Linked DNA regions of Nothobranchius furzeri. The protein of the gene in region 2 interacts with the protein of the main gene of each other region in a pairwise test. Links are inferred from orthologs where the notes say so. Each region holds a gene or a part of one and is shown on either strand. Other genes may lie near its edges.

Region 1 (4,232 bases), on a different chromosome or scaffold from region 2:
ACTAGTTGAAGGAATGCTAAAGATCGCAAAAATTATTTCAAGCTCTATTTTTCCACTTTGTTTAGCACTCGTGTCGCTCACTGCATTTGCCAACCAATATGGTAGACCCACGTGATCAGGTGATGTGGGTGCAAAGGGTCATTAGTAGCCTGGGTGAGGGGTGGGTGGGCGTGGCCGTTCCAGCTTGTTTTCTTAAAGTGACAGAGCCCTGAAACGGCTCATTCTGGAAGGTACTGAAACAGTCCAGATAAAAACTGCTGGGATTACTTTGTGTGAGAATTTTTGTGCAAAGAACTTCACGAGCATGTTTTGTATCGATAAAATAACTATTGCATAATTTTAAAAAGTCATAATTTGTCTCCTTTAAAAGGATTTTTTTGAAACCTGTGAAACTCTTAAAGACTTAAAACATTCAAATACAGCAATCATTACATCTTGAAAGTTTAAAAAAAAACTAAAGAAAGGTTTATTGGCATAACTGGAACAAAATTAAACAGCACACTAATATACCTGTCAGTTTGCAGGATGTTTATCAGGTGATCCATTGCCTGTGTGCCGACTTCCATGCGGTATTTCTACAAAAACACAACAGCTCTCATAAATAATGTAACACTTGGCAACTAGAGTCCAAAAACTCAAGAGAAGCTAAAGAATTTAAGCAAAGGTAAATGCTTTATGAACTCTTTGGTGCTTTGCAAATCCCTTATTCAAGCGTGATAAACTCATTAGTCATGGCTGAAAGGACAGCCAAAAACAAAACCGTTCAACACGTGAAAACAGGCGTGGTGGTGGTCAAGGATTAGTTCACCTTTATCAGCAAAATGTATTTTTTTAAAACGGCATTTATCTACAGGTAATCATGACATTTTTAAAATCTGACATTTTTACACTGAGATAAGTTTGTCTCTGGTGTTCAGATTCACTCAGATGGATGAAAAACCCTTCTCAGCAATCCTGACAAATAAGTCCCTTACTGATAACCAATAAAGCACTGGCATCAGGATCTCTGGTATTCCCTTTTTTTTTACACTAAAATGATGTCCGTGCTCTTCTAACATTAAACAATTTTTCTTTTGATAATTAAACTCCATTCATTAAAATTATGAAGTAAAAACAGAGCTGAGAAACAACAAAAGTGAGCTTTTAACAACTGGCATTCATGGATCCCAATCATGAATGTGTTCATCCACTGTTAACTGGTTCACTAGTGGCTGTCAGCATTTTGTAAAAGGGGTTGGTAATATAAAATCTGTTCAATAGCTGTTTGCAAGAGTGTTTTGAAGCACAGGCTAGTGAAATAACTAAATAACGAAAACAAAATCTAATGTGTGCAGAGATAAATTGTCCCCTTGCACCAAGTTACTCCAAATACCCGGAACATACATACCGAAGACAGGTTCAAACAATATATATGAAGAGATGTGTAAAGTAGCATTATAACAGTTATATAGTAATTTGGCTGTGAAATTAAACTAATCTTTAAAAGTTTCAAACCGATGGTAGCAGCAGCACATGACTCTCCACACAGATTACAGGTGGTGAACTTAATAAACAACCTACTTAGCATTTCTGTACATTTATCCTCAAACTTTACCTTAGAGAGAGATTTAAGAGCCCGAACAGCATCTCTGCGGTCCTCCAGGAGTGTTGAAGAGGCTACTCGGTCACACAACTTCTGGATCTGTCAATAGGAAAAAAAAAAACATTCTGCTCATGTAATTTGCATCCTTATCTCCTCCTCTATGTGTGTTATTGTATTTAAATATATGTTGCAGTTAAATAATAGCATAGGAAAAGAAAGAATAAAAGGTTTTCATAGTAATAATAAGAGCACATGTGTGACAAAGTTCTGACTTTTGATACTAAAACTAAAGGTTTATCTGCAGAGCTGAATAATGAAATTCTTCTAGGTTAAACTGGAGAATATTGCAGCAAAAAATCAATACATCGCTGTAGAGCAGACATAAAGCAAGAATGTAAATGATAGCACAGCAGTGGTCACCTAAACTGATAGATAAATGGGTTTGACTTCAATACTGCTGATCATTCCAAGTGGGATAAAAGACCCTGGAGAAAGTGAAAGTAAGACTGTCCCTAGATGTGAACGATGTGCGCATTTTCATAAAACAACTTAAAACGGGTCACAGCTGTAATGAACAAGATCGTGGGGGTAAGCCTGACATTTTCCACTCTAAAGGGCTTGACAGAAGTGGCAAATACCAGTTTGGTACAGCAGTGGGTGTATAACACCTCCACTACGTTTAATTACTGTTCGTCAACTTGTCGTTACTGATAAAGAAAATTACCAAACAAGGATTGTGGCTGAGAAGTAAACAGTTGCTGCCGATGACTCCATCCTTTGAGCTTGTTTTCTTTAAATGTTCATTCATAAAGTAAAGTTTACACAGCCTCACCCTCATATCACCATGACAGCTGCACGGCTACAGGCTTACACAAGTGAAAATGCGTTCATGTTCTTAACACATGTAGTGGCTCTAGAATGAATAAAATGTGAGAAAAAAAAATTCAACTACGAGTGCTTTCTTTTCAATTCGACCAAGACCTTAGCTAGCTTAGTAGCTGAGATGCTAGCTCACCGTCTCCGCTCCTGTTGGTTGCGGCCCGGTAGCCTGCCCTGTAATCACTCCTCTGAAGAAGTTCATACTCACAGACGTCCTGTGCTTCAACACAAGCTGACAGCTATTTACGTAAGCCGCGTAGAAAATGTAGAATAAGTGAAAAATAATACAGTAGTAAGGAAATCTAGCACTGTGTTGGATGACGGACCCCGGAACACAAACAGGAGAGCAGTGCGCATGCGCGCAAACGTGGCGAAACGTGGACGTATTAGCAGATGAGTGAGCAGTTTGTTTAAAGGGCCAGGGGACTACATTAGGTTTAGGCCCCCGTTTTCCTTTTTGATTTTTCTTTCGCATTTTAATCAAAATTATTATTTTTATCACATTTTTACTGTGAAAAATGAGCCACTATATAAAAATTGTTTCTTCTTTCAAGGGTAACATTTCATGAAAACATTTAACTCACAATGGCTCCAAACGGTGCTGCTGCTGCACCTGCCTCAGCTTCTAGAGGTTTCAGAGTTGTAGCTGTTTGATTCACACTAGATTTGCTGTCGCGCATCACACAATAAATGCACCAAAAAGTAATTGAAGTATGTACTATCTTAAAAACAGTATGTTTGAACTACATTTATAATTTTATTCTCAGTTGGGGGTGATTGTGTGTGTGTGTGTGTGTGTGTGTGTGTGTGCGCGCGCGCGTGCCTGCGTGCGCGCGCGCGCGCGTTAGTGACATGTTTTTCTGACTAATGGGCCATTCCCATCTGTACCGGGTCGGCCCGGGCCGGGTAGCCCCAGTCGGCCCCAGTCGGCCCCAGCCTGGCCCGGTTGATTCCACACATTCTTGTCTTAAGCCCATGTGGGCTGATTCTACCCACCAATCAGAGGCTTGCTCTAATGGAAGGTGTGAATTTGCTGTCAGCAGTGGGTGTGTTGGCCCTGGTCGGCCTGAAGCAGACCCCCTCGAGAAGAGGGCTGAGAATGAGCCTTGGTTGGCCCGGAAAAATACCAGGCCACCCAGATATGTAAACAACCTACGCTACCCGGCCCGGGCCGACCCGGTACAGATGGGAATGGCCCACAAGAATCCAAGAGCGGGTGTGAGTGGGTGCAGGGCTGTGGCAGCTCCATCCTCTTGGTTAGCCAGGCAACGCCTCCTTTTGGCACATGTTTCAAACAGGAAGCTTGGGTGGAGTAAGACTCTGGTGGGGGGGATAACTTCAAGTTATATTAAAGTTATATTATAATAGTTAAATGATCCTTACAAAACATGTCTACGAAGCACAAAATCCGGTGTCACGCAATGCAATTTCAGCAGTATTAATCTTGACAGTTTCAGTACCTTCCTGCATGAGCTTTTCATGGCTCTGTCACATAAAAATAAACTGGAGCCGGCCAAACCCACCCCTCCCCTGCTCTGACTGCTATAAGCTGAGGCACTCCAATATCTGGGAGAGGCTTGGAGTAGAGTGCTGCCCCTCCAGCAACAGCTCTCTCTTGCATGTGAGAGGTGGTTCTATTCTAATTCCCCTGTTTGTGATGTCACAAACTGGGACATTTCGAAACCACTTGTTTTAGACAGATAATTCATAAAACCAAACACTGATAGAAAGCAGTTGGATTTTTTTTTCTCAATTGGAGTGTTGCCACCTT
Region 2 (9,248 bases):
GTATCGCAATATGTCGTGATACATATCATATCGCCAAAATTTCACCAATACACATCCCTAGTTTTTATTAATATGTAGCTTTATGATGTGTGTCTCACAACAGGTTACTAAACTGAGTCTAACTCCAAACTGTTTCTAGTTTCCTCCACTTATCTGACTGGTTGACTTTTGCAGTAAGAGCCTTAAACAAAAGAATAAAGTGGATTGGTATGAAGCTCAGGGGCAGCCAGGCAGCGTGCTCCTCTGCAGAGCTCACCTTTGATGACTTTTGAACCTGATCACCGATGTAGATCTTTCTGAACTGTTCAAAGAAGCTGAGCATGGCCAGCTCCAGCCTCTCGTTTCCAGCCTGAGCGAGCCGCGAGTCTGTGAGGTTCATCAGCTGCAGCACCCTGACAGAAACAAAATCCCCGTCAGTGCAGATGAGCGACTGAGTGATTCTGATCAGGTCAACATCAATAAAACATGAGTGACCCTGCTGTTTTGGCTTCTTCGTTTTTTGACTCATTCTGACAAACTTCCCTTGTTTCTGAGATTTTACAAAAAAATGTTAAAAAATCCATTTGAAGAACATTCTCTTGGGATGTTGCGATGCTTACCGACAGACTAACTCCCCATCCATGGCGTCCTGCTCGTCTGTGCTAGCAAAAGACACCCGTCCACCAATCACCGCCCCGATGATATAAACCAACCACGTCAACCGTCCTGCACACAGATCCCAGTGTTAACACACACGCCCACTGCTCTGCTGCAGGGTGAGCGTGGGCTCAGCGTACCTTCTTGTACCGTGACGTCCACGGCGCTGGAGTTAGTGGACTGCAGGAGCTCCTGGTATGTCTGTGCTGCCTGATCAAATAGCTGCACTAGTAGTGCACACGTCTTCTCATATTCACACCTGCCAATGGTGGACAACTGGTCCAACTGCTGCTGGACGAGGCCAGCATCATCCAGAGGGTCTTCTAAGCCGTCTCTGTAGAGAGAACAGATTCATTCATTCCCCCCCCCTACTGGTTTTATTAATCTGTCTCAGATTAAAGAAGCAAATAATCCCAACTCACTAGATGATCAGCAGCTATGCAGAGAAACAATGCTGCTGTTAGTTACTTGTGTGAATTTTTAACTGACAAAAGAAACAAACATTTATAGTTTCATGTCATAGTGGCTGAGACGATTCACACAATGCAGAAAATATCCTGTGTGTCTGAGGTTATTGAAGAGACGGTGCAGAGCGGCATGGCAGAAAGACAAGTGTGTGTGTGGTAGACTATAGTGGTGTTTTATTTTGCTCCTTTATGATCAACTCATTCACTGCCAGCCGTTTCCTGATCGGTAAAACCCTTCGCTGCCAGTGTTTCTCGCCATTTTTACAGTTTTTTTAAGAGTCATAGAACGTTGCATGCTAGGATGACGTAGACGCCAAAACAAAGCGGAGACTCACCTCTTACATCAGAAAGGATCAGCGCGTTCCGATCGTTATACGTTCTTTCATAATCCGTTGTTGAATTGTGATCGGCAGATATTTTTCCGGTTCGCGCCTCACTTTCTTTTACAGGAACGGCCCAAAACGATCTCCTAACACATGGATTTTCTGCTTCCTGATCACGTGACGTGTGGCGCACGCGGATGAAGATCGGCTTCAGCGTTGAGATGTTTGTTCTCTTGGTGCGGGGGCTCGTTCCGATGCCCAAACAGTAAAAAAATGCAAATGACGACATTGTGACGACATTGGCAGTGAACGGTTGGATTTAAAATGACGACTTTAGTCGTCAATGGCAGTGAATGAGTTAAACACCCTGTGTTCACATATGTGGACATCGACTTCTTGCACTACAATATTTTATTCTCTTTAACTTAGTTTTTATTTTTTAGAGACACTTGATATTAACTTTAAGTAAATTTTTTTTCTTTTTTTCAGTTTGTTTAAAAATGTTTAGTTTAATGTATTTAATAATTTTTGTTTGTTTATGAGAGTCAACTAACACTGGCTAGAATTGTTAAAGAAACGATGTGTTTTTACTGATAAACTCCGGAGATATCACTGAAATGTTGTGGAAAATGAATTAAATGATGCCCAGTTGTTGCATCGCATCGTACAGGAGCCCGTGAGGACAAAAAGCATTTACAGGTTTGCAATAAGGAGTTACAAAACTCTCAACATTCATGAAAGTTGTTGTTTTACACATTTACTTCTTCACTCGTTCACTTCATTGTGAACCAATCACAGCACTTTATCCGCTTTGTGGGCCGATCAGGGACCTCTATTCGTCTGGTGGGTGGGATGATGCAACAGAGTGGAACAAGATGGCAACAGCTCATTAGAAACGGCTTTTACATCAATTTAGGACTATTAGGCCTTGGGCTTAATTAGGATCAGTAGCAGATTGATGTATTTATGTTATTTTTTTTTTAAAAAAAGGATGTGTTTTCGCCTTCTTCAACAGCGAACCGCCTCGTTCACTGAAAATTGTTGTGTCGAGTACGTCACGTTGTTCATTGTCCTGTAGCATGTGGCGATCGTTTGAAAGACAATGGTAGAACCCGCCCCACCACCGAGAGCTGTCAATGAAGTGTATTCATGTAGCCTGTACTTATGTATGCTTGCCAGGCTACAAAAATACTGCTTGCTTGCAGTGATTTGACCAGGATGAATCATGAATAAAATAAATAAACCAAAAAAAGGTGTCATAAGCACTGAAGTAATTAAGATTAACAGATTTGTCTTAATGTATGTCCACCCATGTGATTAGATCAGTAGATAAGTATTTTAAGGTTTGTTAGTTTTAGAGAAAAAAATCTAGAAACATCAGCTCATTACAGCTTTATAGTGATCTGTTAAGCGATCACATGAAAGGTCACCATGTAGTCGTGTGTGTGTGTTACCTGAGAATAACATGGACCGACTCCAGCCGTGACGTGATGTAGGCCTTGGTCACCTCTGGGGTGTATGTCTCCAGTAGGTGAGGCTCGGTGGCTTTGACGTAGGGCACGGACGCGGCCAGACGCTGCCACAGACTCAGCAGGTAGTGAACACTGTTTGGGGCGAACTCCCAGTGCTGGAAGACAGCGGGATATGTCACTATGTGACGCCCACCCAGTAGTCTGAGTTGGTTAGCGTAAAGATGACTCACCTGCAGGCTGGTGACGGTGAAATTGGCTATGAGGCGAATTACTTCAGGGTAGTTCTCTACCTTCACCAGCTCCCCCAGCTGGTAGTTACTCTTCAGCCTCGCCAGCAGACGACAGAACTCGTGGTAGTTGTTTGGATCTGGCAAACACTGCCGCACAAACACACACCTATCTCAACACAACACACGACCGGGACTGCAGGATTGCTTTTAGTTTGTGAGTGTTTTACCTGTGGGTTTGCTAATATCCTCTTAACGCCATCCACTAAATGTGAGAGGAACTTTGCACGCTCTGCGTTGTTGAAGAGGGACCTCCTAACAGAGGCTATCTGAACTAGACACGACAACACCTGCACAGGTACACCAGCAGCTTAGACTTGCTCTGGGAACGCCACACAAGTCTCACAAGTCTGAGTGGTGCTACTTACCAACGGGGACAGGGACGGAGGGAGGGAATGGTATAAATTGAAAAACAGCTGTAGTGTGGAGGAATCGAGGAACGCTGCAGAGGAGATAAAAGGTGATGTGGAGGTTTACAGGTGTAAGCTTTTCAGTGCAAGAACACGTATGAATGCTCAGAGGTGGATACCTCACTGCACTTTAGTCCTTTCTAAAAGGGCTTTGTGCAGAAAAAAGCCCATCCTTGTTTTCCGTTCACATACATTATTTATAAACAAAGCCTTCGATATCACATTTCTGTTCTGTACAAAGTTCTGCTCAGCAGGAAACAGTTGTCCATCAGAAAGTGTCTGCTAGGAACGTTTGTTTCAACATCTAAACCCAGAGTTCATCTCTGTTTGGGATTTTTCCAATCCAATCCGATTGTAAAGCACATTTAAAACAACACATTGAACCAGTGTTCTGTAGAATTATAAAAATGTATAAAACACAGAAAACAAAAACAATAAGAGAACCTCTGTGTTTAAAGAGATTTCAAAACAGGAAGTGAAGATGCCCGTCTGATGTTTAACTATCTGGGCAATGACTGAAAAAGTCTGATCTCCTCTGAGCATCAGTGAGGGCGCAACACGGAGCAGGTAAGAAGCCCCGCCAGCCAGAGGCAGAAGACACCCGTTTGTTGCCCCTCGTGATTAAAATTGTAAACCTGACAGCAGAAAACTGCAGATCCATAAGTGTTGGTGAACCAGCTGACAAGTTGTTTAAAACACAGAAAAACCAGACAAAGACCAGACAGAGGCTGATGGCAGCTACACACACCAGAACAACCAGCTACCTGATCTCCATGATGTAGGAATTTGAACGGTGCAGAGGTCGTCTGACGACTCGTCTGTGGAAGTTCCTATGAAGTCGAAGTTGAGGCAATTGTAGCTGAGTTTCAGGAGCTGCATCAGCAATCCGTGCTGAGATTCATCGTTCAAGTTTAGATTCTTCCCTGAAGCCTGAAGACAAAGAGACAAACTGTTAATGTGGGGTCTGATCAGAGCCTGACCTGTTAGGTTTGAGCCCAAACCCCAGTAGCAGCTTTTCTGACTCCTAAATTCTTCTTCTGGGTTTGGAGTCTTTGTTTAGGGGTGGACCCCTGCTCTGGTCCTGCTGTTTCTGTATGTTATCCCAAACACTGATAACACTGATGAGATTAGGACTGCACCAACAGCACATTTTGTGTTACCTTCTGCTGAAGAAGTTGTTAGGGATGTTGTCCTACTGTGGATTCGTTCAGGGCCAATCAGACGCCTCCTTGTTGGTTTTTAATCAGGTATTAAATATGATCAGGACTGATAACTCCAGAGAGCCCAATGCTGTTCCTCGGCACCCCAGTTCCTGTGTTTTTGACCTTGATCTATGCTGGTGACCTTTTGGTTCTGATCAGATCTCTGCAGACAGCAGGTAGGTGTAGCAAGTCTCAAAGGTGTCTGTCAGGTCTAAGCTGATGGCAGCAATGGGCCGTCTCCAGGTCTGAAGGGAAGTGAGGATGGTCTCGTTCATCAGTTTTTTTTGTGTTTTTTTTTTATCTAACTAAGAACAACAATGTGTCTGTCTTCCACATTGAAACCTGCACCTGGAGGAGACCTGGCTGATGTAGCACCCATGCTGACTGGTTCTCTATTGCCTCACCTCAGTAGAAGGTTGTTTTTCCCTGACTTGATGTGTTTGTCCTTTAAGAACTGATACTGTTTATGAAACAAAGGCTCACCATGTAGAACATATTTTTCTCATTTTGCTTTCTTCTATAGAGCTCCGGACGTCACGCGACTCTCAGAGAGTAGACGCCATGTTGGCAGGCAACAAATGTAAACAAATTGAACGGGATCGGCTTGGATTTTACTTCGTCGGAGTTTACTTCACACTTTAAAACTGAAGAAATCGTTTTATATAGTCAGAAATAAAATAGACTAAACATCTCCGACCCTTACCGTGCCCCTGGGATACTTTTTTAAAACGCCAGAAGCTGTCGGAGCGGACTGCTTACCAGACTTGGCCGGGGAACCCCTTGGGATTCCCCCGGAGGAGCTGGCCCAAGTGGCTGGGGAGAGGGAAGTCTGGGCCTCTCGACGCTACTGCCCCCGTAACCCGACTCTGGATACGCGGATGAAAATGGATGGACAAATAACATAGATTTACATGTAAGTAGTTTAAATAGAGTGCTGTGTTGTTTGAATGTATAAACTGAACGCCAAGAGAAACCACTAGTTTGATTTATTTCCGTGAATAAAATAAATATGTCAGGCAGCAGCGTCTCAGGATCTGTCTGAGATCTGTCTCGGTGAGACAGATAATAGCAATCCAAAGTGCTTTTTATGTGTGATCTGACAATTGATCAACCATTGCTTTAAAATGAAATACAGCTTAGCCGGCTAATTGCTGTGATCATAAAACACGTAAACGGCAGCACGCAGAACTCACGAGGCAACGTTTTACGTGATGTTTACTTGTTGCTATGAGTAATAAGACAGAAAAAGCCACGCCAAAATAAGTTTAGGAAACCGGCGCTCCGGATCTTGGGGAATCCTGTAGATGAATCATTCCTTATGTCGTCCGCATTTGTTCTGCATCCTGGGGCACGACAGGAATCTACCATATTTCCTGTCTGATTGAGTTTTCTGACAACAACAAATAGTCCAGCTGCGGGCTTCTGCCTGCCAATTTGGCGCCGTTTCGATTTGAACTGTTGCATGCCGGGAGAAGTGACGTCAACTCCTATAGTTTAACTTCACAGCCTTTCCCCACAGCTGCCTAAAACTTTTGTACAGCATCCATTTACCATTTTCTTTCTTTGATATCGTTACTATACACCAGGCTTGTACAGGTTTATGTAAGTTAGACCAGGATGGTCAGGGAGAAGTGATGATGTAACTTCCAAACCTGCTTTAGGAGGTTACAGGACAGAGTGAAGATGTCAAAAAGGGAGGAGTCTCTGAACGAGGAGGCGATCTTCCTATGTTTGGTCAGAGGATGTGTTGTGTCGGCCTGAGGAAGAAGAGCACATGCTTTAATAGGAGTTATACAGCCGATGCGGCAGTAGGTTAGTGAAAACTGGTTGTGGACGTTGGAGGAAATTAAACTGACTTAGTCCAGTTTTCCATTTATGTTCCCATTCCCTGTAAATGCTCTGCCACTTAATTTCTTAAAATATGCATATATCTATGGAAGAAATACAGTCTGAATTTTAATTCTGTGAATTTATGTATTCAAAGTTTTTACTTCAAATGCACAGGCAAAGAATTCAACAGCAAAAAATCAGCAACAAACGAGGTGACCTCCTGGTGACCCAAGCCAAAGCAATCGTTGAATGAGTCAATGCCTTGTTGGCGTCACATGATCAGAGAAGCCTAATTTGATTGGCTAAAAGCCTCTCAACCCAATTGAGTGATGATTATTTGTATGAACAGTTGACATTGATATCAGAAATAGGACGGATATCGGCCCAAAAACACCGCATTGGATTATATCAGACGGCATCAAAAATGTCCAATATTAGCAATTCGTTCAGATTCTAATTTAATTCCAGCAATTATATCCAGCAGCGCAAAGCCCACGTGATCAGAACAGTGCGTGTTAGCAAAGTAGCAAGGAACAAGAGCAATGTCGTATTTTTTGTTCAAGTCTGTGGCTGGAGGGTGGCTCATTGCAACATTTGCCATGCACAAGTTTCCCGTGGTGGAAAAGAACCAGGAATGTTTAATGCATCCAACCTCATTCATTGTTTGAAGCAGCATCACAAAACACTGCATGAAGATTTTCCGTGTGTGAAATTGAAACTTTGGACTTGTAGCAGTTTCATATGTGCCTGCCCTCACAAGTTCCTACCATTTGCTGACTGTAAAATATAACGGAATTGACCATGAATTAGTATTTTGTAGGGATGCTCCGATCCGATCATGTGATCAGAAATCTGGCCAGATCACGTGTTTTTGAAAGGATCGGAATCGGGAGAAATAAATTGGATTTAACATTTTAAAACAACAAACATGACTTGAAAATGAATCTGGAGATAGAAATTTTCAAATTGAATAAAAATGACAGTTTTAATTTCAATAAGTCCCTCTACACCATCAATGTGTGTTTCTTGTACGAAAACAACACAGTAAAGTCACACAATTTACGGCAGGCAAGGACTCAGACACCAAGCGCCGCTGTTAGCAAGCCTGCTAACACTGAGCTAACATGTCTCCTCAGAACAGCTAAAGTATCTGCAGCTTGGTGGTATTTTAAACCAGACAGCGAAGGCAGAGCTACAGACACTTGTAATGTGTGCGTACTGAGCATTCAACATGCTGGACACAGCTCCATGATTCACTGCCTTCAAACAAGCTACTTTGCTGGAGTGCTACAGGTGTTATGCAGAGAAAAGTAACCCTGCCTGCTCCGTCAGCTGCATACTGAGGGAGTAAACAACGCTGCTACTTTTAAGTATATTCACAATATAAACAAGTTTTTGATCGGTGTACTTCCTAAAAAATGTAAATAGGAATTTTTTCGTCTTATTTTAATGCTTTTCTGACAAGTATCGGATCAGGACTCGGTATCGACAGATACACGTAATCGAATGACTTGGAATTGGACCGGGAGCAAAAAATAAATAAAAAAACGTGATCGCAACATCCCTAGTATTTTGCACTTTAAAAAATATCTTGTTTATTTATTCATTAAAAATATTTTTCTGAGTATTCTAATATATTATTTATTCTTTTATTCATTTGTTATATATTAGGTTTAAGGTTTACATTTATGCAACCAATGGTTAATAATTTTTTTTTCCATACTTACTATTGCTGGCTTTTGTTCTGTGATTGAGTAATACCACTTGATCAAGTCTTTCATACATTCCACACTAAAAAATAGTTAAAAGTGTGTATGATTTGTGCTGATATCATATGGATTGATATCGGTATCGGTCAATACTGATCGTATTGGAAGTGAAAAAGTTGCATCGGGACATTCCTAATGAACTGTATAAACCTTTCGTATTAAAATAAACTTCCCTTTTGGTTGGTTTAGGATCCTTTTTGTCTATTATTTTTCTATTCAGAAGCTTTGCTCTGTCTCAGGGAATTTGATCACTTAATTCACAGGTTGGTAAAAAGAAAAGATTTTAAACTCCCACTTTATTTCATAGTTATTAGATAAAATACAGAAATTGATGTATCCTAATAAACTCTGACTGAATCAGTTGTTTCTGGAGAGAACTTAAACTTTCTGATAAATGGTTCATGCATGTCCACTGAGTTTATAAAACTAGATCTCCATGGCGCAGCACACGAACCAGGAGACCACTGAGATGAACTACAACCTACCTGGTTGATCTCATTTGTTAGCTGGGACAGAATGGTGACGCCTATGATGCAGTGTTCCACGCTGTCCTGTAAAAAACACACAAACATCATCTAAAACATACAGGTGATCCAGTTTCCTCTGAAGTCAGCTCATGTGGTTCCACAACAGCAGCAGCTACATGCAGATACATTAATGTAATATTGGGAAACTAACACAACTTCCAAAAAAAACAAAAAAAAAAAAACAAAAAAAAAAAAAAAAACCACAATCGGATCAAGGTCTCAGGATAAGCATGGGTTACCTGGAGGAAGCGTGTTACATCAGCGATGACGTTTCTGAAGACATAGTCATCCTTCTGACAGTCAAACCAGCCCAGTTTGGTGATCC

Evidence for each region.
Region 1: the proteins of xpo7 (region 2) and uso1 interact in binary tests that used the Homo sapiens proteins (3 or more experiments, as listed by UniProt). The two-hybrid records come from large-scale screens. The link is inferred for Nothobranchius furzeri from reciprocal best matches to the Homo sapiens genes XPO7 and USO1.

What each region holds. Positions count from the first base shown.
Region 1 is NC_091744.1:13,143,942-13,148,173, reverse strand, and holds the start of uso1 (general vesicular transport factor p115), read right to left. Parts: upstream 2,801-4,232; 5' UTR 2,664-2,800; coding exon 2,598-2,663; intron 1,682-2,597; coding exon 1,595-1,681; intron 576-1,594; coding exon 511-575; intron 1-510. UniProt on the Homo sapiens protein: General vesicular transport factor required for intercisternal transport in the Golgi stack; it is required for transcytotic fusion and/or subsequent binding of the vesicles to the target membrane.
Region 2 is NC_091746.1:34,509,494-34,518,741, forward strand, and holds part of xpo7 (exportin-7), read right to left. Parts: coding exon 9,163-9,248; intron 8,948-9,162; coding exon 8,882-8,947; intron 6,555-8,881; coding exon 6,450-6,554; intron 4,526-6,449; coding exon 4,360-4,525; intron 3,628-4,359; coding exon 3,554-3,627; intron 3,476-3,553; coding exon 3,356-3,475; intron 3,276-3,355; coding exon 3,129-3,275; intron 3,054-3,128; coding exon 2,881-3,053; intron 971-2,880; coding exon 777-970; intron 706-776; coding exon 600-705; intron 393-599; coding exon 257-392; intron 1-256.